4 linked regions of the Anolis sagrei genome follow. The protein of the gene in region 1 purifies or fractionates together with the protein of each later gene. This does not show direct contact. Links are inferred from orthologs where the notes say so. Each region holds a gene or a part of one and is shown in the gene's direction. Other genes may lie near its edges.

Evidence for each region.
Region 2: the proteins of SMAD2 (region 1) and SP1 purify together in Homo sapiens (affinity purification with western blotting; 3 studies listed by BioGRID). This does not show direct contact. The link is inferred for Anolis sagrei from reciprocal best matches to the Homo sapiens genes SMAD2 and SP1.
Region 3: the proteins of SMAD2 (region 1) and SMARCC1 purify together in Homo sapiens (affinity purification with mass spectrometry; 3 studies listed by BioGRID, with this or other methods). This does not show direct contact. The link is inferred for Anolis sagrei from reciprocal best matches to the Homo sapiens genes SMAD2 and SMARCC1.
Region 4: the proteins of SMAD2 (region 1) and KAT2B purify together in Homo sapiens (affinity purification with western blotting, with the first as the bait; 3 studies listed by BioGRID). This does not show direct contact. The link is inferred for Anolis sagrei from reciprocal best matches to the Homo sapiens genes SMAD2 and KAT2B.

Annotation. Positions count from the first base shown.
Region 1 is NC_090022.1:289,003,805-289,011,775, forward strand, and holds the start of SMAD2 (mothers against decapentaplegic homolog 2), read left to right. Parts: upstream 1-4,638; 5' UTR 4,639-4,762; intron 4,763-7,971. UniProt on the Homo sapiens protein: Receptor-regulated SMAD (R-SMAD) that is an intracellular signal transducer and transcriptional modulator activated by TGF-beta (transforming growth factor) and activin type 1 receptor kinases.
Region 2 is NC_090022.1:190,697,972-190,705,478, reverse strand, and holds the start of SP1 (transcription factor Sp1), read left to right. Parts: upstream 1-4,382; 5' UTR 4,383-4,550; coding exon 4,551-4,557; intron 4,558-4,792; exon of another isoform or gene 4,793-4,897; intron 4,898-7,507. UniProt on the Homo sapiens protein: Transcription factor that can activate or repress transcription in response to physiological and pathological stimuli.
Region 3 is NC_090026.1:130,811,760-130,819,436, forward strand, and holds the start of SMARCC1 (SWI/SNF complex subunit SMARCC1), read left to right. Parts: upstream 1-4,619; 5' UTR 4,620-4,791; coding exon 4,792-5,175; intron 5,176-7,677. UniProt on the Homo sapiens protein: Involved in transcriptional activation and repression of select genes by chromatin remodeling (alteration of DNA-nucleosome topology).
Region 4 is NC_090026.1:87,238,413-87,246,203, reverse strand, and holds the start of KAT2B (histone acetyltransferase KAT2B), read left to right. Parts: upstream 1-4,589; 5' UTR 4,590-4,836; coding exon 4,837-5,160; intron 5,161-7,791. UniProt on the Homo sapiens protein: Functions as a histone acetyltransferase (HAT) to promote transcriptional activation. Has significant histone acetyltransferase activity with core histones (H3 and H4), and also with nucleosome core particles.

The DNA of each region.
Region 1 (7,971 bases):
TAAAATAATGTAAATGTAATAACAGAGTAAAATAATAAACATAACAAAATAATAGTAATAACAGGGTAAAATAATACATAACTTTGACTCGAGTATAAGCCAAGGGGGGGGGGGGGAGGATTCAGCCTAAAAATGAGCTAAAAAATTCGGTTTATACTTGAGTATATAGGGTACTTAACCTGGCAAACAGACCTTCCCACCCAATGGCCAAACAGAAAGTACTGAAGGGGGTTGGGGGTGATTGACCCAGCATGGTGGAAGCTGCAGTCCTCTCATATCCAAAAAGCCTTGTGACCCTAAATGATGATGGATCTGGACCAAACATGGCACACATATGGTCGAATTTAGACTAGGACCGCATATATGGAAGGTCCGTGCCCAGTGACTGTTCCCGATTGAAGAACAGACAACACACTCACTAGGTGAAGACAGCCACAGACTTTTATTAGTAATCTGGCCAGAAAGAAGGCAAGTACGGCTGCTGCCAAAATGTACAAGCATAATATGCAATAGTTTAATTACGTTTTATTTGAGTATTGCATTCTGGTCTTATTTTAAATGCCAATTAGCCTCTTTTGTTATAAGTTTAACGCTATTATTTTGGGGAGAGAGGGTGGTCTATAAATAAAGTTGAATTATTATTATTCATTCTGGTGCCCTTGGAGAGCTATAAATCACTGGGGTTGTGGTGCTGTGTTCGACAACACAGGTACCCATCATGACCAACTTTAAATACTGATGAGGTTTGGGGGCAATGGCAAAGGATGATGGCAGTTGTAATTTATCCACATTCTTATGCATCTTCCAATGGGATCATTCGCAAAATTCAGAACTAAACAATTACTACTTCTAATGTTTCTCCTTACAAAATCTCTAACCAGAGCATTGCTGGGTACCTAAGCTAGTTTCATATAAAAATCAGAGAGATAATAAGAACAAAGCCAAACACAAACTCACACAAAGGGCACACTGATTGGTAGCACTTTTAATAAAAGATGGTCAGATTTCTGTGTCGGTGATTAGTGTTTGGCTTCGACAATTTTGCTAATGATTGCATGTGATGCCAAATTGTCATTTGGCAGATAGGTTGCCAGATGAGCACATGCGTTCTTGCATAGCCTTGGCCGAGGAGTGATATATCCAAGGCCGTTGGCAGCTCTGCATGGGTAGGACTGTCAGTGGGAAGTGGAATTTAATGTGGATCATCCTTCACTCATCATCCTATAAAACAGCACAATCCAACATGACTTTGCCACTTCGAGGCTCCATCTACACTGCCATACAATGCAGTTTCCAACTGTATGTAGACTGATATGATGCAGTTTAACCTCACTGGATTGAACTACATGAGTCTACATATAATGGTGGTGCAGCAGGTTAAATCATTGAGCTGCTGAACTTGCTGACTGAAAGGTTGGCAGTTCGAATCCGGGGAGTGAAGTGAGCTCCACTGTTAGGTCCAGTTTTGCCAACCTATACATTCAAAAACATGTAAATGTGAGTAGATCAATAGGGACACCTTCTGCAGGAAGGTAACGGCACTCCATGTAGTCATGCTGGCCAGATGGCCTTGGAGGCATCTACGGACAACGCTGGCTTTTCGACTTAGAAATGGAGATGAGCACCACCCCCCAGTGTCTGACACGACTAGACCAAATGTCAGGTGATACCTTTACCTTTATGTATACTGCAGTATATGGCAGTGTAGATGCAACCTTTGCCTGGCTGATTTAAATGGAAGATTTCCATAGCTCCCCAGTCACACTGAATCATAGAATCAAAGAGTTGGAAGAGAGCTCATGGGCCATCCAGTCCAACCCCCTGCCAAGAAGCAGGAATATTGCATTCAAATTACCCCTGACAGATGGCCATCCAGCCTCTGTTTAAAAGCTTCCAAAGAAGGAGCCTCCACCACACTCCGGGGCAGAGAGTTCCACCGTTGAACAGCTCTCACAGTCAGGAAGTTCTTCATGTTCAGATGGAATCTCCTCTCTTGTAGTCTGAAGCCATTGTTCCATTGCGTCCTAGTCTCCAGGGCAGCAGAAAACAAGCTTGCTCCCTCCTCTCTGTGGCTTCTTCTCACATATTTATACATGGCTATCATATCTCCTCTCAGCCTTCTCTTCTTCAGGCTAAACATGCCCAGCTCCTTAAGCCGCTCCTCATAGGACTTGTTCTCCAGACCCTTGATCATTTTAGTCGCCGTCTTCTGGACACATTCCAGAGGAGGGCGACTAAGCTATGAAGGAACCTATGAGTGTTTATTAGGCCTGTGCAATCAATGAAAAAAGTTTCAGTATTCACTACAAAAATTAGAGGGTGGGGGAAATTGTTTCTAAAGTGTTTCTGAAATTTGACGGAGTCTGCATCTTAACTATAACGAGTTAACTACTTTTCGTTAAGTAATTGTGCTAATGGGGAAACTTCAGGGGCTCCTTTCTCCCTCATTGTTAGGGCTATGTGCATAAAACTTGCTACGATGATAGAACACATGCCCCCCCCCCCCCCCCCCCCCCCCGTAGCAGCAGCCAGCCAGAGTTCCAATAAATTGTTGAATCTTCAAAGAGGAGGACTTATTGATACTTCTAGTAAGTAAACCTCTGTGGTGGGCTGGGAAGAAATCCTTAAATGGAAGTATTATTGGTTAATATGAGAGACATTCAATAACATAGCTGTTGTGACTTTTTAAAAAAAATGTTTTTGTCAAAAGTTTTTTTTTAAATCCCCCAAATCAGTAGATGTATGAATATTTTTTAACTTGGGGGGGGGGGGGGGTCAGTCTTGTGTCATTGCACAGAAAATTCAAGGAGATAGCAAAATCTATGAATAAGTGAAACATTCTGAAGCTTGATGGGCTAACAGTGGTAAATGTATTCTACCACTGTAGCAAGTTTCACCCCAATAGCTGTAAAAATGAGGGAGAAAGTAGCCCTTGAAGTTTCCCCACTTACACAATTAATATAGTAAAAAGTAATGAAATTTCGTTACTCTCATTACTCTCCTTCCCTTTTTCTTCCTTTTCCCTTCCTCTTTCTTTCCATTCATCTCTTTTCTTCCTTTCCCTTCTTCTTTCTTTCCATCCTTCCCTCCTTTTACTTCCTTTTCCATCCTTCCTTTCCCTTCTTCTTTCTTTCCATTCTTCCCTTACTTTTCTTTCTTTCCATTCCTTCCATTCCCATCTTCTTTCTTTCTATCCTTCCCTCCTTTTTCTTCCTTTTCCCATCCTTCCTTTCCCTTTTTCTTTCTTTATATCCTTCCCTCCTTTCCCTTCTTCTTTCTTTCCATCCCCTTTCTTCCTTTCTTTCCCTCCTTCCCTCCTTTTTCTTCCTTTCTCCTTTCCCTTCTTCTTTCTTTCCATCCTTTGCTTCCTTTTCCCTTCCCTCCTTTCCATTCTTCTTTCTTTCCCCCCTTTTCCCTCCTTCTTTCTTTCCATCCCTTCTTCCTTTCTTTCCACCCTTCCCCGTTTTTTTCTTTTCCCATCCTTCCTTTCCCTTCTTTCCTCCTTTCCCTTCTGACTTTCCCTCCCCTTTCTTTCCATCCTTCCCTCCTTTTTCTTCCTTTTCCCTTCCCTCCTTGCCCTTCTTCTTTCTTTCCATCCTTTTTCTTCCTTTCTCCTTTCCCTTCTTCTTTCTTTCCACCCTTCCCTCCTTTTCCTTCCTTTCCCTTCTTCTTTCTTTCCATCCCCTTTCTTCCTTTCTCCTTTCTTTCCATCTTTCCCCCCTTTTTCTTCCTTTTCCCATCCTTCCTTTCCCTTCTTTCCTCCTTTTCCTTCCTTTCCCTTCTGACTTTCTATCCCCTTTCTTCCTTTCTTTCCATCCTTCCCTCCTTTTCCCAATCTTCCTTTCCCTTCTTCCCTCCTTTTCCTTCCTTTCCTTTCTGTCTTTCCCTGTCTTTCCATCCCCTTTCTTCCTTTCTTTCCATCCTTCCCTCCTTTTTCTTCCTTTTCCCACCCTTCCTTGCCCTTCTTTCTTTCCATCCTTTTTCTTCCTTTCTTCCTTTCCCTTCATCTTTATTTCCATCCTTTTTCTTCCTTTTCCCTTCCCTCCTTTCCGTTCTTCTTTCTCTCCATCCGTTCCCCCCTTTTTCCTTCCTTTCCCTTCTTTTCTTTCCTTCCTTCCTCCCTCTCTTTGGGACTATTTCTTCTCACTTGCGAGAGACAATTGCTGGGCGGAAGGATACACTCCGAGTGGCGGAGGGACACAGTTAACAAGATTTTTGCTTCTTCCCTGCTCCTCCCTCAAAAAGGAGAGACTAGGTTAAGGAGGCGGGCCTAAAACACGCCGCGTCCAATCCGACGCTTCTCTGGTTAACCAATCCGAGGGCTGAACACATTTTGCTCTTCTTCGTGACGCGTCCGCTCATTGGTGGCTTCCAACCAATGGCAGCGAAGAAAAAGATGAAAGAGGGGACGGAGGGGAGGGAAGGGCGGGGATAATCCGGCCCCGCCCCTTTTATCTTCTTCCGACCCAATCCGCGTGACGGACGGACGCAGGGACCAATCACCTCCTTCGATGGAGAAGCTCGAGACGAGGGCGGGGACACGGAATGCCGTTGACTCCACCCCTGGCGGCAGCTTCCATCGTGACGGGCGAAAGCGTCGACCAATCACGGGCTTCGAAAGAGAAGCAGGGGGCGGGGCATATTTTCGGTCGGCCAATGGCGGCGGCGGAGGAGCTGTGAGGGGCGAAGACGGCGAGAAAGAGAGCGAGGGCGGCAGAGGCGCAGCTCGGGGCGAGGAGAGAGGGCTCTGAGGCGGCTGAGGGTGAGAAGGGAGGCCGCGGCGTCGAGGGGAAGCGGGTGGCGGGGAGGGGGCTTCATCTGGGAGGCCTGGCGGGGGTGGGGTAGGCCTCAGGCCTGGAGCGAGCGAGGGGGAGGCTCCCTGGGCTTTGTTGTGGTGCGAGAGGGGGAGGGGAGCCGCCAAGGGCCTCTCTTGGCCCGAACGCGCTTCAGCCTCATATACACCCCAAAATAGGTACATATTTACATGCAACCGTAGCCTCAGTGCTTACCTGAAGGCTAAAGGCATGCCTTTGTTATTGCACAGCCAGTTATAGGCATGATTCAATCAAAGTTATGGATTCTGATTTAAGTGAGAACCCCTCCCAAAAGAATATCTGTCGAGATCAGGCATGGGCCTACTTGGGCCCTCCCTCCAGGCCCTTTAGCTACCTTTCTGTCTGTCTCCACGCCGTCTAACTGGAGGAAGGGCCAAAGTTGGACCACTATCACAAGTGAGGTTGGTGGGGACGAGGAACAGGGCCTTCTCTGTGGTGGCCCCTCATCTGTGGAACTCACTCCCAGGGGAAATTAGGGCATCAACATCCCTCCTCTCCTTCAGGAGGAAATTAAGGACATGGTTGTGGGACCAGGCCTTTGGGCAATCTGACAACTAGATAAGGACAATCAGATGACTAGGACTGACAGGACTGACAAAATGAAATTGGAAATTGGACTATGAGATGGCAAACGCTGACCGTTAATGAGGAGTAATTGGTTTGTATTGGTTTTATTGGTTTTATTGTTATAATGCAGGAACTGTTGGTTAACTGTTAATTGCTGCCATATTGTTTTATACTACTGTTATGTGATGCCGGCATCGAATTGTGTCTTTGTAAGCCACCCTGAGTCCCCTCCGTAGTGAGAAGGGCGGGATAGAAGTAACCGAAATAAATAAATAATAATAATAAACTTTATTTATACCCCGCCACCATCTCCCTGACGGGGACTCGGAGCGGCTTACATGGGGCCGAGCCCGAACAAGAATTACAATATAACAATACAAATTGCAATAAAATAAACAACATAAGATTAAAATAAAGTAGCTGGCTAGATAGATAGAAAGGTAGCTGGATAGATAGAAAGATATAGATAGATAGAGAGGTAACTTATAATAATAAACTTTATTTCTACCCCGCCACCATCTCCACGATGCGGACTCGGAGCGGCTTACATGGGACCGAGCCCGAACAAGAATTACAATATAACAATACAAATTGCAATAAAATAAACAACATAACATTAAAATAAAACATAACTGGATAGATAGATCGGTGGCTAGATAGAAAGGTAGCTAGCTAGATAGATAGAACAGTAGCTGGCTAGCTAGATAGAAAGGTAGCTGGATAGATAGAAAGAAATAGATAGATAGATGGAAAACTAGTAATAATAATAATAATAATAATAATAAACTTTATACCCCACCACCATCTCCCCGATGGGGACTCGGAGCGGCTTACATGGGACTGAGCCCGAACAAGAATTACAATATAACAATACAAATTGCAATAAAATAAACAACATAACATTAAAATAAAACATAACTGGATAGATAGAAAGATAGGTGGCTAGATAGAAAGGTAGCTAGCTAGCTAGATAGAAAAGTAGCTGGATAGATAGAAAGATATAGATAGATGGGAAACTAATAATAATAATAAACTTTATACCCCGCCACCATCTCCCCGATGGGGACTCGGAGCGGCTTACATGGGGCCGAGCCTGAACAAGAATCACAATATAACAATACAAATTGCAATAAAATAAACAACATAACATTAAAATAAAACATAACAGGATAGACAGAAAGATAGGTGGCTAGATAGAAAGTTAGCTAGCTAGCTAGATAGAAAAGTAGCTGGATAGATAGAAAGATATAGATAGATGGGAAACTAATAATAATAATAAACTTTATACCCCGCCACCATCTATCCGATGGGGACTCAGAGCGGCTTACATGGGGCCGAGCCTGAACAAGAATCACAATATAACAATACAAATTGCAATAAAATAAACAACATAACATTAAAATAAAACATAACTGGATAGACAGAAAGATAGGTGGCTAGATAGAAAGTTAGCTAGCTAGCTAGATAGAAAAGTAGCTGGATAGATAGAAAGATATAGATAGATGGGAAACTAAAAATAATAATAAACTTTATACCCCGCCACCATCTCCCCGATGGGGACTCAGAGCGGCTTACATGGGGCCGAGCCTGAACAAGAATCACAATATAACAATACAAATTGCAATAAAATAAACAACATAACATTAAAATAAAACATAACAGGATAGACAGAAAGATAGGTGGCTAGATAGAAAGTTAGCTAGCTAGCTAGATAGAAAAGTAGCTGGATAGATAGAAAGATATAGATAGATGGGAAACTAATAATAATAATAAACTTTATACCCCGCCACCATCTATCCGATGGGGACTCAGAGCGGCTTACATGGGGCCGAGCCTGAACAAGAATCACAATATAACAATACAAATTGCAATAAAATAAACAACATAACATTAAATAAAACATAACTGGATAGACAGAAAGATAGGTGGCTAGATAGAAAGTTAGCTAGCTAGCTAGATAGAAAAGTAGCTGGATAGATAGAAAGATATAGATAGATGGGAAACTAAAAATAATAATAAACTTTATACCCCGCCACCATCTCCCCGATGGGGACTCAGAGCGGCTTACATGGGGCCGAGCCTGAACAAGAATCACAATATAACAATACAAATTGCAATAAAATAAACAACATAACATTAAAATAAAACATAACTGGATAGATAGAAAGATAGGTGGCTAGATAAAATGGTAGCTAGCTAGCTAGGTAGAAAAGTGGCTAGCTAGATAGAAAGGTAGCTGGATAGATAGAAAGATATAGATAGATAGATAGGTAACTGGATAGATAGAAAGATATAGATAGGTAGGTAGGTAACTAATCTATATATATAAATGCTCTGTGCATAATGAGTGGCTTAAAAACAAAAAAAACCTGAGGGGCCAAATGACCCCAAATTTGGCAACAAAACTCCTCACAATCCTAGGAGTGACCATCACTGAAAAACCCCCCACAAAAACAAGATATTGACAAGCTGGAATGTGTCCAGAGGAGGGTGACTAAAATGATCAATGGTCTGGAGAACAAGCCCTATGAGGAGCGGCTTAAGGAGTTGGGCATGTTTAGCCTGAAGA
Region 2 (7,507 bases), about 98 Mb from region 1:
ATCTGGTCACTGAGTGTTTCCATTACGGCAGGCATTCTCAAAATGTGGCCCTCCAGCTGCTTCAGCCTCCACTTTCCAGAAGCCTTAGTCAGCTTGTTCAATGGTCAGGAATTCTGGGAATTGGAGGGCCACAGGTTGAGGATGCCTGCATTCATCGGTGATCCCTCATGTCCGAGTATGATTGCCTTCCAAGTGTAGGGTTTTGGAGGTGGATCCACAGCTCATTGTAGAGGCTTATTCTTGACCTGCATGTTCTTCCACAGTGAGAACATCATTTTCCAGGTGGAATATGGTTCTGACTAGGGTTGTTATTATTATTATTATTATTATTATTATTATTAACTTTATTTGTACCCCGCGAGCATCTCCCGAAGGACTCGATGCGGCTTACACAGGCCGAAGCCACAAACACAATACAATAGAAAACATAACAAACAATAAACAAAGCAAATTAAAAAGCAAAAACAAATCAAATCAAAATTAGCAATACAACAGTAACTATACATCAGGACATATTAAAAACTGGTTCGGCCGGTGAGAGGTACAAGGTTAAAAGTGCTGAAATGGTAGGAGGGGCGTCGGGATTAAAGTACGGTGTGCAGCAATATTAACTGTGCTAAAGTGCTATTAGGACTTGGGATGGGGGTTCCTAATCCGGGAAGGCACAACGGAACAGCCAAGTTTTCAGGTTCCTTCTGAAAACTGCTAGTGTAGGGGCCTGTCGGAGATCTTTTGGGAGGGCGTTCCAGAGTCGGGGGGCCGCTACGGAGAAGGCCCTGTCCCGCGTCCCCACCAAACGCGCTTGCGACGTAGGCGGGATCACGAGCAGGGCCTCCCCAGATGATCGAAGCGAGCGTGTAGGTTCGTAGATGGAGATACGGTCACGCAGGTAGGGTGGTCCCAAACCGTTTAGGGCTTTATAGGTGAGCACCTGCACCTTGAATTGGGCTCGGAAGATGAAAGGCAGCCAGTGGAGCTCCTTGAACAGAGGGGTAGACCTCTCTTGATAATGAGCTCCAGTTAGCATTCTGGCTGCTGCACGTTGGACCAGCTGCAGTTTCCGAGCCGTCTTCAAGGGTAGCCCCACGTAGAGCGCATTGCAGTAGTCCATTCTAGAGGTGACCAAGGCATGGACCACCCCGGCCAGATCAGCCTTCACGAGGTATGGTCGCAGTTGGCGCACGAGTCTCAGTTGCGCAAAAGCCCTCCCGGATACCGCCGACACCTGAGCCTCAAGTGTAAGCGAAGAATCCAGGAGGACACCCAAACTGCGGACCTGAGGTTTCAGGGGGAGTGTAACCCCGTCCAACACAGGTAACCACCCTATACCCCGATCCGGCTTACGATCGACCAAGAGGACCTCTGTCTTATCGGGATTGATCTTCAGCTTGTTCTTCCTCATCCAGATCGACACAGCGGCCAGGCACTTGTCTAGCACCTGGGAAGCCTCCTTGGAGTTAGGTGGAAAGGAGTAGTAGAGTTGTGTGTCATCTGCGTAGAGATGGCACCCAACTCCAAAACCCCGGATGACCTCTCCCAGCGGTTTCATGTAGATGTTGAAGAGCATGGGAGACAGAATAGAGCCTTGCGGGACCCCACAGGTCAAAGGCCAGGGGTCCGAGCAGGCGTCACCCAGCTTCACCATCTGAGTTCGTCCCTCCAGGAAGGACTGGAGCCACGACAGAACCGTGCCCCCAAGGCCCATCCCAGAGAGACGACCCATGCCTTCCTTTTGACATGCCTTCCTTTTGACACATTTCTCCCTTTTGCCCTCCATTCGTGCCTCTTTGAATTTCATAGCACTGTTACTCACAGCTGACCTCCAGTTAGAGAAGGGCCAGGGCTTCCCAGTTCTCAGTGTCTATGCCACAGTTTTTAAGGTTTGCTTTAAGCCCATCTTTAAATCTCTTTTCCTGTCCACGAACCTTCCATTTTCTGTTCTTCAGTTGGGAGTATAGTAACTTTGGGAGATGGTGATCGTGTGTTCAGACAACATGGCCAGTCCAGTGGAGTTGATGGCAGCAGATTATTGCTTCAATGCTGGTGGTCTTTGCTTCTTCCAGCATGCTGACATTTGTCCACGTGTCTTCTGAAGAGATTTGCAGGATTTTTTTTGGAGGCAACACTGATGGAATCATTCCAGGAGTCGAGTATAATATTGGTAGACGTCTCATTTTGCAGGCATATAACAGGGTTGGGAGGACAATAGGTTTATAAACAAACACCTTGGTCTGCCTACGGATGTCCTGGTCCTCGAACACTCTCTGCTTCATTTGAGAAAGTGCTGCACTTGCAGAGCTAAGACGATGTTGTATTTTGGTGTCAATGTCTTTGGGCCCTTCACTGTAATACGCCTGAGTGGACCAATTCAAGGCATTCTGGACTTCAGTGTGACCTTGAGTGGGATCTTTGATCACATGCAATCTCCTAGTCAAAGAGATTTGACTAGGATCTCTTTGCTCCTAGTCAAAGCGATGTTCTCATCTTGTATTTGTCTTTAAAATCCCATGGAATGCTCTGAAAACAAACGAAGGAAAGCCTAATTATATCTTACTTACTCAGCCGATCCCTCGTAGTCCGAGGATGATGGTCTTCCAAGCTCGGTGTTCTGGGTCTGTAGGTGACTGTGGAGCCCTATTCTTGATCTGCATCTTCTCCCACAGTGAGGGCATTGGTTTCCAGGTGGGAGGTGGCCCCCGTTGGGGTTGGCTTGACGTGCCTTCCTCTTGGCACGTTTCTTTCTTTCCCCCTCCATTCGTGCCTCTTCAAATTCTACAGCACTGCTGGTCACAGCTGACCTCCAACTGGAGCACTCAAGAGCCAGGGCTTCCCAGTTCTCAGTGTCTATGCCAGAGTTTTTAAAGTTGGATTTGAGCCCGTCTTTAAATCTCTTTTCCTATCCTCCAACATTCTGTTTTCCGTTCTTGAGTTCGGAGTAGAACAACGGCTTTGGGAGACGGTGGTCGGGCATCCGGACAACGTGGCCGGTCCAGCTGAGTTGATGGCAGAGGACCATCGCTTCAGTGCTGGTGGTCTTTGCTTCTTCCAGCACGCTGTCCGCTTGTCTTCCTAAGAGATTTGCAGGATTTTTTGGAGGCCGTGCTGATGGAATAATTCCAGGAGTTGCATGTGACGTCTGTAGACTGTCCACGTTTCACAGGCGTATAGCAGGGTTGGGAGGACAATAGCTTTATAAACAAGCTAATTATATCTACCTCCCTCCATTTGCCGGCGTTAACTCTAGAAATAATGTAGTTTGATCCACTTCCACAGCTCAATGCTATGAAACCATAGGAGTTATAGTTTTACAAGGTCTTTCGCCTTCTGTGCCAAAGAGGGCTGAGTAGGCCTCAAATTACAATTCCCATGATTTCATAGGATCGAGACGTAGCCATTATTACGTGATGTCAAACTGCACTAATTCGACAAGGTATAGACAGGTCTCCGTATCCACAGACTCCACCATCCACTGCTTACAAATAATCCAGGATGTCACTCTCAAAAGCAAAAGCTGATTTGGCCCTTCTATACATGGGAGTCAATTTCACTACACTATTTATTTATCGTGTCAGGGGCAGACCAAACAGTTGCACCACTGTGTATATATTCACACACATATAGAAGGTCTTGAGCACCCACTGATTATGGTGTGGAGGGGGGGGGGCGTCGTGGCACACGAAGGAAGCCACCTCAGCGGCGCCTCTTACATTATGACCGGAAGTGAGCATTTCTCCAACGAGCCTCAAGGGAGGAAAAACGACCGACGTCAGTTCTGGTTGCATAATCCCTTCGTCAAATGGAGGAAGGGGGGTGGAGTAGGCCCGAGCTAAAATGGCGCCAACGCCCGTCACCCTGTTCCAATGGCCCAAATGAGCAGCCATTCCCATTGGATAATTCAAGGCCATCCTCGATCCTCATTGGAGCAGGCACTGTTTCCGCCTCCTCTCTCCTTGCTGCTCTCTGGCTGCTCAATCCTTCGCTCTGAAACGCTCGTGATGCCGATTGGCTAATCGTCCTGTCAGTCCCCGCCTTCCTCTCCATGACGGAAAGGCCTCGTCTCTTGATTGGACGCCAGGCAGTTGAGTCGGACGAGTTCGTGACAGGGCTACCCGACGCGGTCGCCGATTGGTCGGTTGCGACATCACTTCCCAGTTCCCAAACACTCTCCAAGCCCCGCCTCCCACACTTGGGTGGGGCTTCTTTCGAAAGGCGTTTCCCGAAAGGAGAGCTTTTGGTAAACTGCTCCCCCTTCCACCCCCCCTCCCCGCATTTTCCACACGCCTTCTTTTTTTTTTGTAATTCCGCGACTGGCTGTGCGAGGCGCCAGTCATCCCTAGCCACGCCCAGAGAGGCCTGTGATTGGAGGAGAGAGGCGGGAGGCGTGGCGCTTGGCCTTGGGGGCTGTGTGGGCACAGCTCCCTCCCCTCAGCAGGCCTTTGGCGGTCACCGGTGGGGGTTAGGCTTAGCCGCGTCCCACAAACTCCGCTGCCCCCGCCCAGGACACCCCTCCGGCGCCGCTTGGGCTCGCCTACTTCTTCGCCTCGGCCAACATGAGCGGTAAGGACGGGACTATTTGGGCCGGGCCGAGAGGGGGGCGCCGCCTGCGTGCTTCCCGCCGGCCTTCCCTCGCGCTCTGGCCCAGCCCCCCAGGGAGGGGAGGGGAGGGGAGGGGAGGGGAAGCGAAGCGAGGGGAGGGGACGGCATTGGCAGGGCCAACCTGTGGCGGGGAGGGGCCCCAGGAGGAGGAGGAAGAGGAGGAGGAGAAGGGGCTTCTTGGGAGGGGAGGAGGACGAGGAGGAGGCCGGAAGAGAGGGTTCCGGGTGGGAATGTCTCTCAGGAAAAGGAAGGCCGTCCCTACCTTCTCCTACTACTTCTGTGTAGTTAACCTTCGTTAGAGGTTAGTATTTCCGTGTTGCTGGCTTAACTACCCACCCACCCACCCAGGGGTTAAATGGAACCCCCCCCCCCCCGCTGCCGCCTTTCACCAGAGTGCCCCTGAGCACGTGCAGAGTGCGCCTTTTTTGTGGGCGCCAGGACTCGGATCCCCGCTTGGGAAGAAGTCACACTCTCTCAGCCTCAGAGGCAAGGCCTTCGGGGGGGGGGGTTAAAAAACACTACAGAGTAGGCCTCTATCTGAGTTTAAAACCGTCCTGGCGCCATTTTAAACCGCCGTTTCGTCTCCGTGCTGCGGATTCCTCCGAGGTGTCCCTTTGACAAGGCCTCAAAAGCCTTGCCTTGGCTGTTGGTTGGCGCCTCACCAAACTGCGAAACGGGCGGCTTAAAGTGGGTTTTTCTTCGTGTTAGGAGCGACTTGAGAAACTGCAAGTTGCTTCTGGTGTGAGAGAATTGGCCGTCTGCGAGGATGTTGCCCAAGGGACGCCTGGATGTTTGGATGTTTTACCATCCTTGTGGGAGGCTTCTCTCATGTCCCCGCATGGGGCGCTGGAGCTGACAGAGGGAGCTCATCCGCGCTCACCCCGGATTCGAACCTCCGACCTGTAGGTCTTCAGTCCTGGCGGCACAAGGGTTTGACCCAGGGGTCCGCAAAGTTTTTAAACAGAGTGCTAGTTTAACCCAGGGGTCTTCAAACTATGTAAACAGAGGGCCAGGTCACAATCCCTCAAACTGTTGGAGGGCCAGATTATAATTTGAAAAAATATGAATTCCTATGCACATTATACATATCTTATTTGTAGTGCAACAATGCTTAAAAACAATACAATAATTAAATGAAGAACAGTTTTAACAAATATAAATTTATTAGTATTTCAATAGGAAATGTGGACCTGCATTTGGCTGATGAGATAGGATTGTTGTTGTGTGCTTTCAAGGTTTCAGGTTGACCCTGAGCGAGGGCCAGGTAATTGACCTTGGAAGGCCGTATCTGGCCCTCGGGTCTTAGTTTGAGGACCCCTGGTTTAACCCATTGTGCCACTGCTTTACAGTTCCACAGTTTCGGCTCAGGGCCCTTCCACACAGCCCTATATCCCAGAATATCAAGGCAGAAAATCCCCCATTATCTGCTTTGAATTGGAATATATGGCAGTGTGGGTTCAGGTAACCCAGTTCAAAGCAGATATTGTTGGATTTTATGCTTTGATATTACAGGATAAAGGGCTGTGTGGAAGGGCCTCAACTGGAATGAGGGGCTGGGCTCAAAGTCCAGGCCTTGTGGGAGGGGAGTGGGCTTCTTCCCAATGCCTCGCTGAGGACAACTAGGGACTGGAAGGAAACTCAGATCCTAAAATGCAAGAGCCCACCAACCGTCCACTGTGTCCTTTTTAGGGACCTTCCAGGCAGGCCCCATATCCCAGTATCTGATCCCAGGTTTTCTGGTTTAAACTGGATTATATGAGTCCCCACGACCAGATAATCTGGGATAAACAGAAAACCTGGGGTCAGATCCTGCTATATAGGGCCTGTCTGGAAGGGCCCTTAGGCTTCTTCTGTCTGTAGGAATCAGATATATGTTGCCAGACAGTCTGAGGCCTCTTCCACATCTGAATAAAATCCCACATTTTCTGCTTTTAACTGAGATATATGGCAGTGTGAGCTCAGATAACCCAGTTCACAGCAGATATTGTGGGGTTTTCTGCCTTGATATTCTGGGTTATATGGCTGTGTGGAAGGGCCCTGAGGCTCCTTCCACACAGGTGAATAAAATCCAGCATTATGTGATTTGAACTGCAGTATTGTGTGGACCCATATAACCCTGTTCAAAACAGATATTGTGGGATTTTCTGCCTTGATATTCTGGGTCATATGACTATGTGGAAGGGCCCTTGGAAACGAAATGTGACATGCACTTGGGGGTTTTCCCAGGCCTCGCTTCCGCCCTTTGGCCTTATCTGTGTGTTTCCTCACACGCATAAAACAGAGCTATCCTTTCTCCTGGGGTGCATTTATGCTGTAGAATTAATGCAGTTTGATGCCACTTTAACTGCCATGGCTCAATGTCTAGGGGTTATTTGAACAAGACCTTGAACCTTCTTTGCCCAGATTACCTTCTATGCCTCACCAAACTACAAATCCCATGATTCAATAGCATTGTTCTCTGTCACTTAAAATGGTGTCAAACTGCATTATTTTTCTAGTGCAGCCTAACTTAGGGCCCTTCCAGACAGACCCTATATCCGAGGATCTGATCTCAGGTTTCTGCTTTAAACTGGATTATATGGTCCCTTCCACACAGCCCTATATCCCAGAATATCAAGGCAGAAAATCCCACATTATCTGAGCATGGACTCAGATAACTCAGTTTAAAGCAGATATTGCGATATTTTCTGCCTTGATATTCTGGGATATAGTCCTGTGTGGAAGGGACCTATCAGTCTGCAGTGCCAGATAATCTGGAGTAAACAGAATACCTGGGATCAGATCCTGGGATCTAGGGCCTCTCTGGAAGGGCCCTTACTTTGGACAGTCTGTTGAGAAGATCTTAACAATCATAGTGTTCACCAAGCTTTGTTAAGCCTTTGCTGGTGTTTCTGCTCTCTTTGAGGCCAGC
Region 3 (7,677 bases), on another chromosome or scaffold:
GCTAAACTAATTTCTCCAGTGGTGTGGGGCGCAGACACCCCGTGATAATGCGGCATGTCTCATTAAGAGCCACATCCACTGTTTTAGCATGGTGAGATGTGTTCCACACTGGGCATGCAGACTCAGCAGCAGAGTAGCATAGCCCAAGGGCAGATGTCTTCACTGGGTCTAGTTATGATCCCCAGGTTGTGCCAGTCAGCTTTCGTATGATATTATTTCTAGCGCCCACTTTTTGCTTGATAGTCAAGCAGTGCTTCTAAGTCAGAGCACATTCCAGGTGAGACCAGGAGACTCCCAGGTGTTTGGGTGTGCTGCAATGCTCCAGTGGGATTCCTTCCTCTGCCCAGTTGAATTAGGCTGATGGGAAGGGTGGGAAAGAATGAGAGCCCAGTGTACTCCCAGGCAATCTGTATTTCACTAGCATTGGAAGGGATCCCCAGAAGACATCTGGACCAACCACCTTCAGCCAGGTAGGAATGCACAGTGAAAGCTCTCCCAGAAGATAGCCATCTAGCCTGAGTTCAAAAACATCCAGAAAGGTTTAATCCCTACAGAACTGTTCAAGTGTAGGTCCTGTTATAAATTTTATAATTTGAACAATTTGTGGATTGAGCTGCAGTAATTATCATTAAAGTGGATATGTTTCTAATTAAGAAAAGGAAATCTGTTGATGTTTGCGATAAACCCCATGGAACAGCTATGGAGTTCCAGGAATCACCGGTAATACAGAAGTGTAAAGGAGAAATGTCCAAAATTTGGATGATATGAAACATACATTATATATACAATTTATATTTTATAGCATATGCACATATATATTATAATACATGTGTATTGCAAGAAACTCTTATAAGAGTTTGGTTTAACCCCCAGTTTGCTAGTAAAACCGACGGTGTCGCAAAAGGATGCATCTCAGAATGTGGAAAGTTTTGATTCACACTTATGGCATCACTCTCCTAGTTTTTCTGGCAAGATTTACCCCAAGGAGGTTTGTCATTTCCTTCCTCACCTTAAGTCTGAGAGAGTGGGATTTACCCAAAGGCAACCAGTAGATTCCCAAGGCTGAGCAGGAACCGGAATCCAGTGCTCAGAACCATTGCGCTAGGCTGGCTTTCTCATGCTGCGTCATGCCAGATATTATTTTATTTGTCACTCACCACTCCTCACTACTTGAGGAAGGCCACAGCAGTTAAAACATCTCACACAGAGAGACAGATACACACACACACATATGAAAGAAAATGATATAAAGACATCCAATAATGATTGGATGTCAATATAAAATTATTGGTTTAATATTGGGTAGGCGTTTTATGAGCATTTAGGGGTGTCCCTTATTTCACAAATAACCTTTCAGAAGGATGCAATTGGGCATTTCTTTCTTATCGTGTCAGGAGCGAACCCAACAGTTGTACTGCATTAAAAACAAAACACAAAATTTGTAAACTTGGTATTCTATTAAATGTCCTTTGACCATAATCTGGCCACTTGGAGTGCCTCTGGTGTTGCTGTGAGAAGGTCCTCCATTGTGCCTGTGGCAGGGCTCAGGTTGCATTGCAGCAGGTGGTCAGTGGTTTGCTCTTCTCCACACTCGCATGTCGTGGATTCCACTTTGTGGCCCCATTTCCGAAGGCTGGCTCTGCATCTCGTGAAACAATATCATACGAAAGCTGACTGGCACAACCTGGTGATCACAACCAGACACAGTGAAGACATCTGCCCTTGCGCTGTGCTACTCTGCTGCTGAGTACGCATGCCCAGTGTGGAACACATCTCACCACGCTAGAACAGTGGGTGTGGCTCTTAATGAGACATGCCGCATTATCATGTGGTGTCTGCGCCCCACACGACTGGAGAAATTATACTGTTTAGGTGGTTTTGCAACACCTGACATCTGCCGGGAAGTAGCAGCCAATAGTGAAAGGACCAAGGCAGCTCATTCCTTGTTTGGGTATCAGCCAGCATGTCGACGACTTAAATCTAGACATAGTTTTCTTAGATCTACAGAGACACTCGCTGGAACACCCCAGCAAGCAAAAGTCATAGAATCATAGAATCAAAGAGTTGGAAGAGACCTCATGGGCCATCCAGTCCAACCCCATTATGCCAAGAAGCAGGAATATTGCATTCAAATCACACCTGACAGATGGCCATCCAGCCTCTGCTTAAAAGCTTCCAAAGAAGGAGCCTCCACCACACTCCGGGGCAGAGAGTTCCACTGCTGAACGGCTCTCACAGTCAGGAAGTTCTTCCTCATGTTCAGATGGAATCTCCTCTCTTGTAGTTTGAAGCCCTTGCTCCATTGTGTCCTAGTCTCCATGGAAGCAGAAAACAAGCTTGCTCCCTCCTCCCTGTGGCTTCCTCTCACATATTTATACATGGCTATCATATCTCCTCTCAGCCTTCTCTTCTTCAGGCTAAACATGCCCAGCTCCTTAAGCCGCTCCTCATAGGGCTTGTTCTCCAGACCCTTGATCATTTTAGTCGCCCTCCTCTGGACACATTCCAGCTTGTCAATATCTCTCTTGAATTGTGGTGCCCAGAATTGGACACAATATTCCAGGTGTGGTCTAACCAAAGCAGAATAGAGCATGGGGAGCATTACTTCCCTAGATCTAGACACTATGCTCCTCTTGATGCAGGCCAAAATCCCATTGCCTTTTTTTGCCGCCACATCACACTGTTGGCTCATGTTTAACTTGTTGTCCACGAGGATTCCAAGATCTTTTTCACACGTACTGCTCTCGAGCCAGGCATCACCCATTCTGTATCTTTGCATTTCATTTTTTCTGCCAAAGTGGAGTATCTTGCATTTGTCACTGTTGAACTTCATTTTGTTAGTTTTGTCCCATCTCTCTAATCTGTCAAGATCGTTTTGAATTCTGCTCCTGTCCTCTGGACTATTGGCTATCCCTCCCAAGTCCAAAAGTGGCAGGCCCAAACCCAGCACCTCAACCAATGGCTGATCCCAAATGAGAGACTCCCCCTTCCTGGGCACACTGAGGACTGGGCGACCTGGAAGGCACTGAACAGACTGCGCTCTGGCACCACAAGATGCAGAGCCAACCTTCAGAAATGGGGCCACAAAGTGGAATCCTCGATATGCGAGTGTGGAGAGGAGCAAACCACTGACCACCTGCTGCAATGCACCCTGAGCCCTGCCACATGCACAATGGAGGACCTTCTTGAGGCAACACCAGAGGCACTCCAAGGGGCCAGAGACTGGTCAAAAGACATTAAATCAACTACCAAACTCGCAAATTTTGTATTTTGTCTGTTTGCTTTGTTCTGTTAGAAATGTAATATAATGGACTGGCTGCCCTGACACGAAATAAATAAATCACTACTATTTGCGTTATTGTTCACTATTATATCACTATTATATGCACTATTGTTCACTATTATATCACTATTGTTCTTTGACTAGGTTGTCTCTTATTTTGTATGTATATATATGTATGTATGTATCTCAATCTCCCTATAGAGACACCTGTGAGAGTCTTCTCCTCCTTCTGCCTTTTTGGTCCTCCTCCTCCTCCTCCTTCAGGCCTGCCTTTTTCCCGCCAAATGTGTCCTGGACAGGTCAAGCGGAAATGTCCACTCTGGGTCACTTCCTGTGCGGCCACTCCTTCCGCCGCGCCCGCCTTGCTCTCGTCTCCTCTCCGGGGAAAGACACAAAAGCGACCCTCTCGGTGGCCCTCTCTCCCTCACAACCAGGCCTTCCCCGCTTGGCTTCCCCTCGCGCATGCGCGGATGGAGGAGAGAGAGCCACACAAAGGCGAGGGGAGGGGTTGATACGCATGCGCGAGCGAGGCCCAGCACACTAAAACTCCCGATGTTAAGTACGCATGCGCGAGCGAGGCTCAGAGTACGAAAAAAAGTGCAGGCGATGTCGTGTACGCATGCGCGAGTGAGGCCCAAAACAAAAAATAATCTGGTGGTGTTGAGTACGCATGCGCAAGCGAGTCCCAGCGAACAAAAAAAAGTGCTGGAGATATTGTGTACGCATGCGCGATTGAGACCCAAAACACAATAAAGTCTGGCGATGTTGAGCACGCATGCGCGAATGAGGCTCAGAAAGAAAAAAAAGTATCGATGTTGTGTACGCATGCGCGAGTGAGGCCCATAAAGAAAAAAATGTGCTGATAATGTTGTATACGCATGCGCCAGTGAGGCCCAGAAGAAAAAAAGTATCGATGTTGTGTACGCATGCGTGAGCGAGGCCTAGAAAGGAAAAAAAATGCTCTGCTGATTTTGTGTACGCATGCGCCAGTGAGACCCAGAAAGAAAAAAAGTGTCCATGTTGTGTACGCATGCGTCAGTGAGACCTAGCAAGAAAGAAAAAGTATCGATGTTGTGTACGCATGCGCGAGCGATGCCTAGAAAGAAAAAAAATGCTGTGCTGATGTTGTATACGCATGCGTGAGTGAGGCCCAGAAGGAAAAAAAAGTGTCCATGTTGTGTACGCATGCGCGAGCGAAGCGAAAGCCTTACAAAGAAAAGAGCTTTGGTGGTCTTGTGCAGGCATGCGCAGGAGAGAAAGACTCTCCTCCCTGTCTGCGCATGCGCCCCTGTTGCGTAGGGGAAAGCCGGCGTGGGAGGGGAAGGCGGAGGCGCGTCGCGAGCGCTCGGCGCCTTGAGGGGAGGGAGGGAGCGCGAGGTCGGACTGCGCGTGCGCGCGGGGCGAGAGAGAGAGAGCGAGCGAGAGATTGAGCGAGAGAGAGAGAGAGAGAGGGTGGCGGCGGCGTGGGAGGCAGGCGCGGCGGCGTCTCCTTCCCGCGGGCTCTGCGCATGCGCGGGGCCGGGAGAGAGGGAGGCGAAGGGCCCCGGCTGAGGCGGCGGTGGCGGCGGCGCAGGAGGCCGCGCGGGAGGCCCGGAAGGACCATGGCGGCCCACACCACGGCCACCGCCAACACCAACCCCACCCCCTCGGGCCAGCCAGGCTCAGCGGCAGGAGGAGGCGGAGGAGGGAGCGGAGTAGGCCCCGCTGAGGGCCCGCCCGCCTCAGGCCTCTCCTCGGCCTCCTCAGCCTCCTCGTCGTCGTCCTCCTCCTCGGGCCCTCCCGCCGTGTCGCGGCGCAAGGACGGAGGCCCCGCGGGGAAGTTCTGGGAGAGCTCCGACACCGCCGCCCAGCTCGACGCCGCACGACTCTGGCTTGGGAAGCACTGCAAGAAGGTGAGGCCTTCCTTTGTCCCCCAACTTGGGCCTTTGGACTCCAACTCCCAACATTCCTCACAGCCTCAGGACCCTTCCTTTTCCCCCTCAGACGCTTAAGCGGCTGAGGGGGGAAAGGAAAGGGCCTGAGGCTGCGAGGAATGGTGGGAGTTGGAGTCCAAAGCCCCTGAGGCGTGGCCTAGCATTATTTCTGTACCTTAGTGTCATTAATTTGGTTCCCTTTGTGTCCCTTTGAGGCTGAGAAAGTGTCACTTGGTATGTGTATGTGGGGTAGGCTTCCTTTATTTCTTTGTTTACATCTCTGACTCCTTAATTTGGTTCCCTTTGTGTCCCTCTGAGGCTGAGAGAGTGTCACTTGATATGTGTGTGGGAGGGGAAGGCTTCCTTTATTTGTTTGTTTACATTTATATGCTGGCGAAGGGGACTCAGAGTGGCTTACAAGTCATATTGGACATAAAGCATACTATATTATTTTTAAACATTCATAGAATCATAGACTCAAAGAGTTGGAAGAGACCTCGTGGGCCATCCAGTCCAACCCCATTCTGCCAAAAAAGCAGGAATATTGCATTCAAAGCACCCCTGACAGGTGGCCATCCAGCCTCTGTTTAAAAGCTTCCAAGGAAGGAGCTAGACACTATACATCTATTTATAGTGAGGAATTGTGGGAATTGGAGTCCAAAGCCCCTGAGGCCTGGTCTAGCGTTAATTCTGTGCCTTAGTGTCATTTCTGACTCATTAATTTGGTTCCATTTGTGTCCCTTTGAGGCTGAGAGAGTGTCACTTGGTATGTGTATGTGGGGAAGGCTTCCTTTGTTTGTTTTCGACATTTATATCCTGGCGAAGGGGATTCAGAGTGGTTTACAAGTCATATAGACATAAGACATACTATAGTATTATTATTAAACATACTATATATTCTTTTCTGTCTCCCTCAGGGTGAGGGAGTGTCACTTGTATGTGTGGGGAAAGGCTTCCTTTGTGTCTCTCTGAGGCTGAGAGAGTGTCACTTGATATATGTGTGTGTGAGAGAGAGAGGGGGGAAGGCTTCCTTTCTGTCCCTCTGAAGCTGAGAGAGTGTCACTTATACGTGGGGAAAGGCTTCCTTTGTATCTCTCTGAGGTTGAGAGAGTGTCACTTGTGTGAGTTAGGAAAGCCCCCTTAGTGTCCCTCTGAGGTTGAGAGATTGTCAATTGATGTGTGTGTGCCTTCAGATCCTTTCTCTTCTGTGGCCAGCCTAGAGCAGGGTTTTCTTGAACCAGTTGAATCTTTTGTGTCTCTCTTAGGCTGAGAGAGTGTCAATTCTGTGTGTGTGAGAGAGGAAGGCTCCTTTTGTGTCCCTCTAAGCCTGAGAGAGTGCCACTTCTATGTGTTATGAAGGTTCCCTTGGTGTCCCACTGAGGCTGAGAGAGTGTCACTTGTGTGTGAGGGGGAAGGCACCCTTTGTGTCCCTCTTAAGCTGAGAGAGTGTCACTTGATATGTGTGTGTGGGGAAGGTTGTCTTTGTGTTCCTCTGAGGCCGAGAGACTGTCACTTGATGTGTGTGTGTGTGAGGAGGGCTACTTTTGTGTCCCTCTTAGAATGAGAGAGTGTCACTTGATATGTGTGTGTGTGTGGGGGGGGGGGAGTTTCCATTGTGTCACTCTGAGGCTGAGAGAGTGTCACTTAATATGAGTGTGCCTTCAGGTCATTTCTCTAGCAAGCCTAGAGTAGGGTTTTCTTGAACCAATTGAGTCTTTTGTGTCACTCTTAGGCTGAGAGAGTGTCACTTGATATGTGTGTCAGGAAGGCTCCCATTGTGTCCCTCTGAGGCTGAGAGAGTGTCACTTGATATGTGTGTCAGGAAGGCTCCCTTTTTGTCCCTTTGAGGCTGAGAGAGTGTCACTTGATATATGTGTGTGGCGAAGGTTGCTTTTGTGTCCCTCTGAGGATGAGAGAGTGCCACTTCATGTCACAGGGAGGAGGGAGCAGGCTTCCTTTCTGCTTCCCAGGAGACTAAGATGCAATGGAAGAATGGCTTCAAACTACAAGAAAGGAGATTCCATCTGAACATGAGGAAGAACTTCCTGACTGTGAGATCCGTGCAGCAGTGTGTGGTGGAGGCTCCTTCTTTGGAGGATTTTAAACAGAGGCTGGATGGCCATCTGCCAGGGGTGCTTTGAATGCAATATTCCTGCCTCTTGGCAGAATGGGGTTGGATGGCCCATGAGGTCTCTTCCAACTCTAGGATTCTATGATTCTATGTATGCCTGGGGAAGGCTCCCTTTGTGTCCCTCTTAAGCTGAGAGAGTGTCATTTGATATGTGTGTGTGAGGAAGGATCCCTTTTTGTCCCTCTTAGGCTGAGAGAGTGTCACTTGATATGTGTGTGCCTTCAGGTCATTACTCTTCTGTGGCAAGCCTAGAGCATGGTTTTTTCTTGAACCAATTGATTCTTTTGTGTCCCTCTGAGGCTGAGAGAGTGTCACTTGATATCTGTGTGTGGGGAAGGCTCTCTTTGTAT
Region 4 (7,791 bases), on another chromosome or scaffold:
ACTGAGTTATAGTAGTTAAAACTGAATTAATTCTACAGTGTGAATGCACCCTGGATTTGACCCATGGTTCTGCTTCAGAACTGGATGTAGTTCTAGGTTTCTTCAAGACTTCTTTCGGTGCCAAACATATTGCTATAAGGGGCACATCTATGCTGACTCTGTGGTAACTTCACACTCAGACCTCACAACCTCTGAGGATGCCTGCCATAGATACAAGCGAAATGTCAGGAGAGAATGCTTCCGAAACATGGCCATACAGCTCAGAAAACTCACAACAACCCAGTGATTCTGGCCATGAAAGCCTTTGACAATACATTTAACTTCACAATGATTCTATGGCAGCTGCATAGTAACTTTGGTGGAAGAGATTCCTTATGGGGCCAGGCTTTGTACTGCAGGTTAAACTGCTAAGCTGCAGAAAATCCTAGGTTGGTAATTCGAGCCCTGGTTGGAGTGAGCTCCCACCCTCAGCCCCAGCTTCTGCTCAACTAGCAGATCAAAAACAGCAATATGAGTAGATAAATAGGTGCCACTTTAAAAGTGGGGAGGTAATAAAAGTCACCCGTAAGGACATGCTGACAATTTGATTGGGAGGACGTCTATGGATGACAAGGCTCCTTGGCATGAAAAATTGAGTGACAGCACACACACACATACACCCGGCTGGAGTCGAGCACAGCCAGATGTCGGAAATGGAAAAAGATGGGAAAGCCTTTACATCTGTTTATATAGTCCGTTCTTGTTAATTGTACAACAGCATTGAATGTTTGCCATATATGTGTTCTGTAATCCACCCTGAGTCCCCTTGGGGAAATAGAGCAGAATATAAATAAAGTATACTATTATTATTTCAATCAGGTTCAATATTATCCACGATTTTCATTTTCCACAGTATAGTACATTTTGGAAACTATCCTCCGCAGATAAGGGAATCATATGGTATAGTGCAAACACAAAAAAGTAATCAAAGTACATAACCATTATCCATCTCCTCATCTCATTTGTAATCGGAACTATTCAAGCGAACTGGCAACAGAGGAAAATTCCTTACCCAGACTGGACCTACACTGCTCTACATCCCAGGGTCTGATCTCAGATTATTTTCTTATCCCTGATTTTCTGGCACTGTAGACTCATACAATCTAGTTCAAATCAGATAATCTGGGATCAGGTCCTGGGATATAGAGAGCAGGACCAGTCTGCTCTCATATCTTTACTTATTCTCAAACTGGCAAGCCAATGCAAAAGAGAGAGAGAGAGAGAGAGCAATACAAATTAACCCTCTACCCTGGACATCTGTTAATATGTTGCCATGGTGCTGACAAGGACCTTAAAACGCATCTGGCTTGGAAGAGAGACCTTATACACTATAGTCAATATCCATGTTACATCATACAATGGTATCCAGTGTGGTTTTATTTCACCTCAAAAATGCCAGAGCCTAAGGATCTGTGAAATGGTCCAAGGCTACTGCAAGGTACGACTAAACATAAGGTGTAGAGCCAATTGGTGTACAGCCAATTAAAGTTTGGTTTTTTGACTTCTTTCTCCAAAATATTTTCAAGCCATTGGTTGAATCTGTGGGTAGCGAACCCATGGATGTGGAGGGTCGAGTGTACTTGCACATTTCCCCTTTATGGCATTAGCTTATAGAGCCACATAAGAATAATTAAATGTCCATTCCACCTTCTGTTTCTTACTGATTAAACTTGCTTGGATTAATTTATGACAGATGTAACAGCAACAATTTACAGAGATTTCAAAATACAGCTGCTACCTTATGAACCATTATTTGCCTTTTTGAACATATTACCTTGGTAGAGCTTAAGGGACTTCGCTGGCAGCTTAGTCTGTTTTCAAGCACAGTTCAAAGTCCTGGTGTTTTCTTTTAAAACTTATTCAGTTTTGAGCCTCGGTACCTGAAGAAAGATTTTGCTCATGTACCAATCATGTGTTGAGGCTGTCTTTGAAGGGCTTCCTGGCATTTGAGATAAGAAAGGTGGAAACCAGAGAGGGGGCTTTTTCACTTTGTGATTTCCTTTCCTCCTATCCATTCATGGAATTTCTTCCCTGGAGATGTGTGCATGGTGGCAGTACTTTTCGTGCCAGGCAAAGTTATTCCTGTTTTTAAATGCTGGGATTTATCACAATTAATCTCGATTTAGTTATCTCCTTAGAAGCATTGCTGAAGAACAGTGTATAGATTTTTAAACAAGCAAATAAGTAGCACAACCGCAGGAACTAGAGAGTGCTTTTATGACTTATGTTCATTGTGAACTAATTCCTACTCAAGAGTGTTATATTTACAATCGGCCCTCTGTATCCACACATTCTTTATCCAGGGAGTCAACCTTCCATGACTTGTAAAAAAAAAAGGGGGGGGGAGTGGGGAGCAAACAGTGGAAATGAAAAGCACAGATTTTTGGTGGACAAATACAGGTGTGTGAAATAAAATGTAACCCTGGAACCAAACTCCAGCACATACATATTTGAAAACAAGAATTATAATAGTAATAATAATAATAATAATAATAATAATAATAATACTTTATTTATATTCTGCTCTATCTCCCCGGAGGGACTCACAGTGGATTACAATATACAGATAGGAAAACATACAATTGAATAATCCCCACCCCCACCCCCGAGGGATACTGAAATGGAAGTTTGTGCCATTCGAATAAACTACCTAGAAATATTAAAGGATTTCTTTCACTCACTTTTCTGGGGAATTTATTGATTGGCCACCACAGTTTGAAACTTGCTTTGAACTGAATTCAATGGTCAGTGTAGATGGGGCCTGTATCATCACTATCCAGGTCTCCAATTGGTTTCAGGATATCCTATGTAATTATTTGTACACTGAAACCACTTTTTTCAATGCTGATTTGAAATTGCATTAAATGGTCAGTACAGATGGGGCCACAAACCACGGAACAGTGATGCACATTAAGGGCTTTCTTTCACACGCTTTTGTGGAAGTTTGTTGTATGTCCATTGCAGTGTGAAGCTAGCTTCGGACTACATTAAACCATCAGTGTAATGGTGCTTAATCAGGTATCGGCAAACTTCAGCCCTCCAGGTGTTTAGGATTTTTCCCCCTCAGAACAATAATTTTCCCTCAAGTTCCTTCATGAGGTCTACTGAAGTGAACATGTTGCCCTCAGAACAATCCCTCAGAAAAGTAGCCCTTTGAGGGCTATTGAAGTGGCAATTTTTGCCCTCAGAATGCATGTAAAGTTGTTTTTTGAGAAGCTCCTGCTGCTCCCTCTGCCACTGTAATCTTTCTCCCTCGAGCCTCTTAGTGAGGGCCACTAAATGGGACATTTTGTCCTCAGAACAGTAATTTTCCCTCAAGGTTCCTTTCTGAGAGCTACTGAAGAAGGTGTTTTTCCCTAAAACTCCCAGAAATAAAGCACTATTTTCTGAGAAGCTCATCTTGCCCTCTGCACCTTTGCAGATGTTTAGCCCTCAGAACAATCCCTCAGAAAAAAAGCCCTTTAAGGGATATGGAAGTGTAGGTTTTGCCCTCAGAAAAGTAGCATGTTGAGGGATGCGGAAGTAGAGGTTTCACCCCAGAAGAGTAGCCCTTTGCGGGATACGAAAATGGAGATTTCACCCTCAGAAAAGATGCTCTTTGGGGGATACAGAAGTGGAGGCTTTGCTCTCAGAAAAGTAGCCCTTTGAGGATACCGAAGTGGAAATTTCACCTCAGAAAACTAATCTTTTAAGGGATATATATATATATATATATTGTCAGGAGCGACCTGAGAAACTACAAGTCGCTTCTGGTATGAGAATTGGCCGTCTGCAAGGACGTTGTCCAGGGGACACCCGGATGATTTGATGTTTTTATCATCCTTGTGGGAGATTTCTCTCATGTCCCCGCATGAGGAGCTGGAGCTGATCCGCCTCTCCCCGGATTCGAACCTGCGACCTGTGGGTCTTCAGTCCTGCCTGCACAGGGGTTTAACCCACTGCACCACCGGGGCCTCTTTTGAGGGATATGGAAGTGGAGGTTTCCCCCTCAGAAAAGTACCCCTTTGAGGGATACAGAAGTTGAGGTTTCGCCCTCAGAAAAGTAGTCCTTCGAAGGGTATGGAAGTGAAGGTTTTACCCTCAGAAAAGTAACCCTTTGGGGGATACAGAATTGCAGGTTTTGCCCTCGGAAAAGTAGCCTTTTGGAAGATATGGAAGTGGAAGCTTCGCCCTCAGAAAAGTAGCCCTTTTAGGGATACGGAAGTGGAGGTTTCACCCTCAGAAAAGTAGTCCTTTGAGGGATATGGAAGTGAAGGCTTCACCCTCAGAAAAGTAACCTCTTGAGCAGGCATGGGCAAACTTCGGTCCTCCGGGTGTTTTGGACTCCAACTCCCACCATTCCTAACAGCCTCAGGCCCTTTCCTTTCCCCCCTCTGCCGCTTAAGCGGGGGAAAAGGAAAGGGCCTGAGGCTGTTAGGAATGGTGGGAGTTGGAGTCCAAAACACCGGAGGGATGTGGAAGCCACTGCGACCCTCCCTCAATCCCTCAGTGACACTCTGAGGGCGCGTCATTGAGGCACCCGGCGAGGGACGCCTCAGTGTGGTGAGTGCCGCCCGCAAGGCGCTCACAACAACAACATGTCGGCCTGCTGGCTGTGCGCGCTGCTGCCTCCTTAGCGGGCGCCTCCTCCTCCTCCTCCTCCTTTCCTGACAGGACCCGCCCGCGGTGTGCGGCCTGTCCCCTCCCTCCCTCCCGAGGGAGCAGCAGGCGGAGGCGCGGCTCCAGCGGGCGCCCGAGCCCGGCCCTCAGCGAGCCTGGCGGCGGCGGCGGCAGCGACTCCCACACCGCAACCCCGCCATGGCTGAGGCTGGCGCGGCCGGGCCGGGGGAGGGCGAGGCGGGGAACAGCAATGGCGGGGCCGGGGCGCTCCAGCAAGGCTCGCCGGCTTCAGCGGGGACGCCCGCTCGAGCTCCGGCCGCCGCGACTCCTCCTGCGCCCGCCGAAACCAGCCCTGCAGCGGGAACAGCAGCGGGAGGAGGAGGGAGCAGCAGCGGGAGCAGCACGGGCGGGACAGGCAGCGGGGGACCCGGCTCGGCTCGCATCGCGGGCAAGAAGGCGCAGCTCCGCTCCGCACCCCGCGCCAAGAAGCTGGAGAAGTTGGGCGTCTATTCCGCCTGCAAGGTAAGCACCGGCCCCGGAATCATCATAAGCCCCAAGACCCGGAGCGGGAGAGGCGAGCGGCGCGCTTCCCCGTGGCAGCCGACAGGGGGCGCCCGCTTGGGTGTCGGCGGAGGATTGAGTGACAGGAGGAGAGGGCAAGGGAGGGGTCGCGCCTGACTCCTTGGATTAAAAGGAGAGGATCAAAACACAGAGAATGACACGCACAATAGAGTGTGGGGTTTTTTCCCACTTGGTGTCTGGCTGGCAACAAGTTTCTCTCTAGAAGCGCAAAGTTGTTGTTGTTACTAATGTTGTTGTATTTACATCCTGTTTCCCTCTCCTAACGAAGCTCAAACAGTATGCGACCTCAGGCCCCATCTGCACTGACCATAGAATACAGCTCAATCTGAATTAGTAGTGAACATGGGACCACAGACTTGGTGCATGGAGTTAGTTTCACTTAATTCGGATTAGGTAAAGTAAGTCCAGTCATGTCTGACTCTGGGGTGTGGTGTTCATCTCCATTTCTAAGCCGAAGAGCCGGCGTTGTCCATAGACACATCCAAGGTCATCTGGCCAGCATGACTGAATGAAGCGCCGTTACCTTCCTGCCGGAGCGGTACCTATTGATCTACTCACATTTGCATGTTTTCGAACTGCTAGGTTGGCAGAAGCTAGGGCTGACAGCAGAAGCTCATGCTGCTCCCTGAAATGGAACCTGTGACCAGGCCGGTAGCCAGGATTTCGATTCGGGGGGAGGGGGGCTGAGTTTGTTTCGGGTGGGGGGGGCTGAGTCTGAGTGAAAGAGGGTCTAGCCTAGCAAACCTTTTGTATCGTTACCCCAATACCCCCATGCATATGGGATATATTGACTATGGTGATCAGATCATGATATGAATAAACAGTTTAAATAATGCACCAGTAAGGCCTTTTCGCAAACCACCATGAGAGTTTTTTTGGGGGGGGGGGGGGCTAAAGCCCCTCAAGCCCCCCCCCCCCCCCCCCCCGCTACATGCCTGCCTGACAGTAAGTCCAGTCATGTCTGGCGCTCGGATGTGGTGCTCATCTCCATTTCTAAGCCGCTGGAGCGGTACCTATTGATCTACTCACATTTGCATGTTTTTGAACTGCTAGGTTGGCAGAAGCTAGGGCTGGCAACGGAAGCTCACGCCGCTCCAGGTGCTTTGGACTTCAACTCCCAGAATTCCTGGCCTCAGCAGCTGAGGCGGAAAAGGAATGGGCCCAAGGCCAGGAATTCTGGGAATTGAAGTTCAAAACACTCAAAGGGCTGAAGTTTGCCCATGCCTGATATAATAGGTATTAAAATAGTTATATCACTGCAATGTTGTAGGTTTTTCGGGGTGTATGGCCATGTTCTAGAAGCATTATCTCCTGACCTTTCGCCTGCATCTGTGGCAAGCACCCTCTGAGGTTGTGAGGTCTCAAACAGCATTAATTGTACAGTGCACATGCATCCTTCCCAATGGTTACCACATATTGGGGGTAACTAATCCGAATTAAGTGAAACTAACTCCATGCACCAAGTCTGTGGTCCCATCTACACAACCTCTGAGGATGCTTGCCACAGATGCAGGTGAAACATCAGGAGAGAATGCTTCTAGAACATGGCCATACAGTCTGGAAAAACCTACAACGATGCAGTGATTCCGGCCATGAAAGGCTTCAACAATACATAGTTATATCAGCTTGAATGTAAAGCTTGGCTTGGAAGCTTTTATCCCTCACAGACAGAAATATCTCTCATCATGTAAGCTAAGTAGAGTCAGCTTTGGTTAGGTCTAGGATGGGAGACCACCAAGGTGAACCTGACAAAACCACTTTGAAGAAAACCCTATGAAAGTTATAGGATCGCCATAAATTGACAGACAGCCTGAAAGTACACACATTTGATCTAGGCAGAATCAGGTGGTAGTTACGTATCAAGAAAAACACTGTATTGTCGAAGGCTTTTGTGACTGGAATCACTGGGTTGTTGTAGGTTTTTTCCGGCTATATGGCCATGGTCTAGAGGCATTCTCTCCTGACGTTTCGCCTGCATCTATGGCAAGCATCCTCAGAGGTAGTGAGAAAAACACTGCCCATGTTTAGTATTAGTCGTGTGTCCCTTGTTACCTATGACTTGCAGCTATCAACCTCTCCCATTCCTCTCCTCACAGAATAACATTGCTCAAACTCTCATTGCCAAATTCCTCTTCCTCCCATGCCTCTCAAACTCAAAGAGTTTCCCAATTTATCCCTTTTAATTCCAAATCTAAGACTTGAGTTCAGTTTCCCCATTTTGCACCCATTTGTGTGACCTATTGCCCCATACTGATTTATTTTATTTATATTTATGTTTATGTTTATTATTATCTCACTTTTATCTCTTGATCAAGACACAAAATTAAAAATACAATTTAAATCCATTGTGTAAAAATATTAAAGTAGGATTAAACATACAAACCAATTAAAATAATTTAAATCACTTAATAACAGCTAAAATATTCATTTTTTTAAAAAAAATGTAAGTGTCCTACCTGATGACCTTGAGCCAATCCACAGTGCCATCCCACCCAGTTTGGTCTCCCTGATTTTCTGCTCCCTGTAAATTTCCCACTGGGTTTCCTTTTTGCACCCTATGTGGCTATCTGT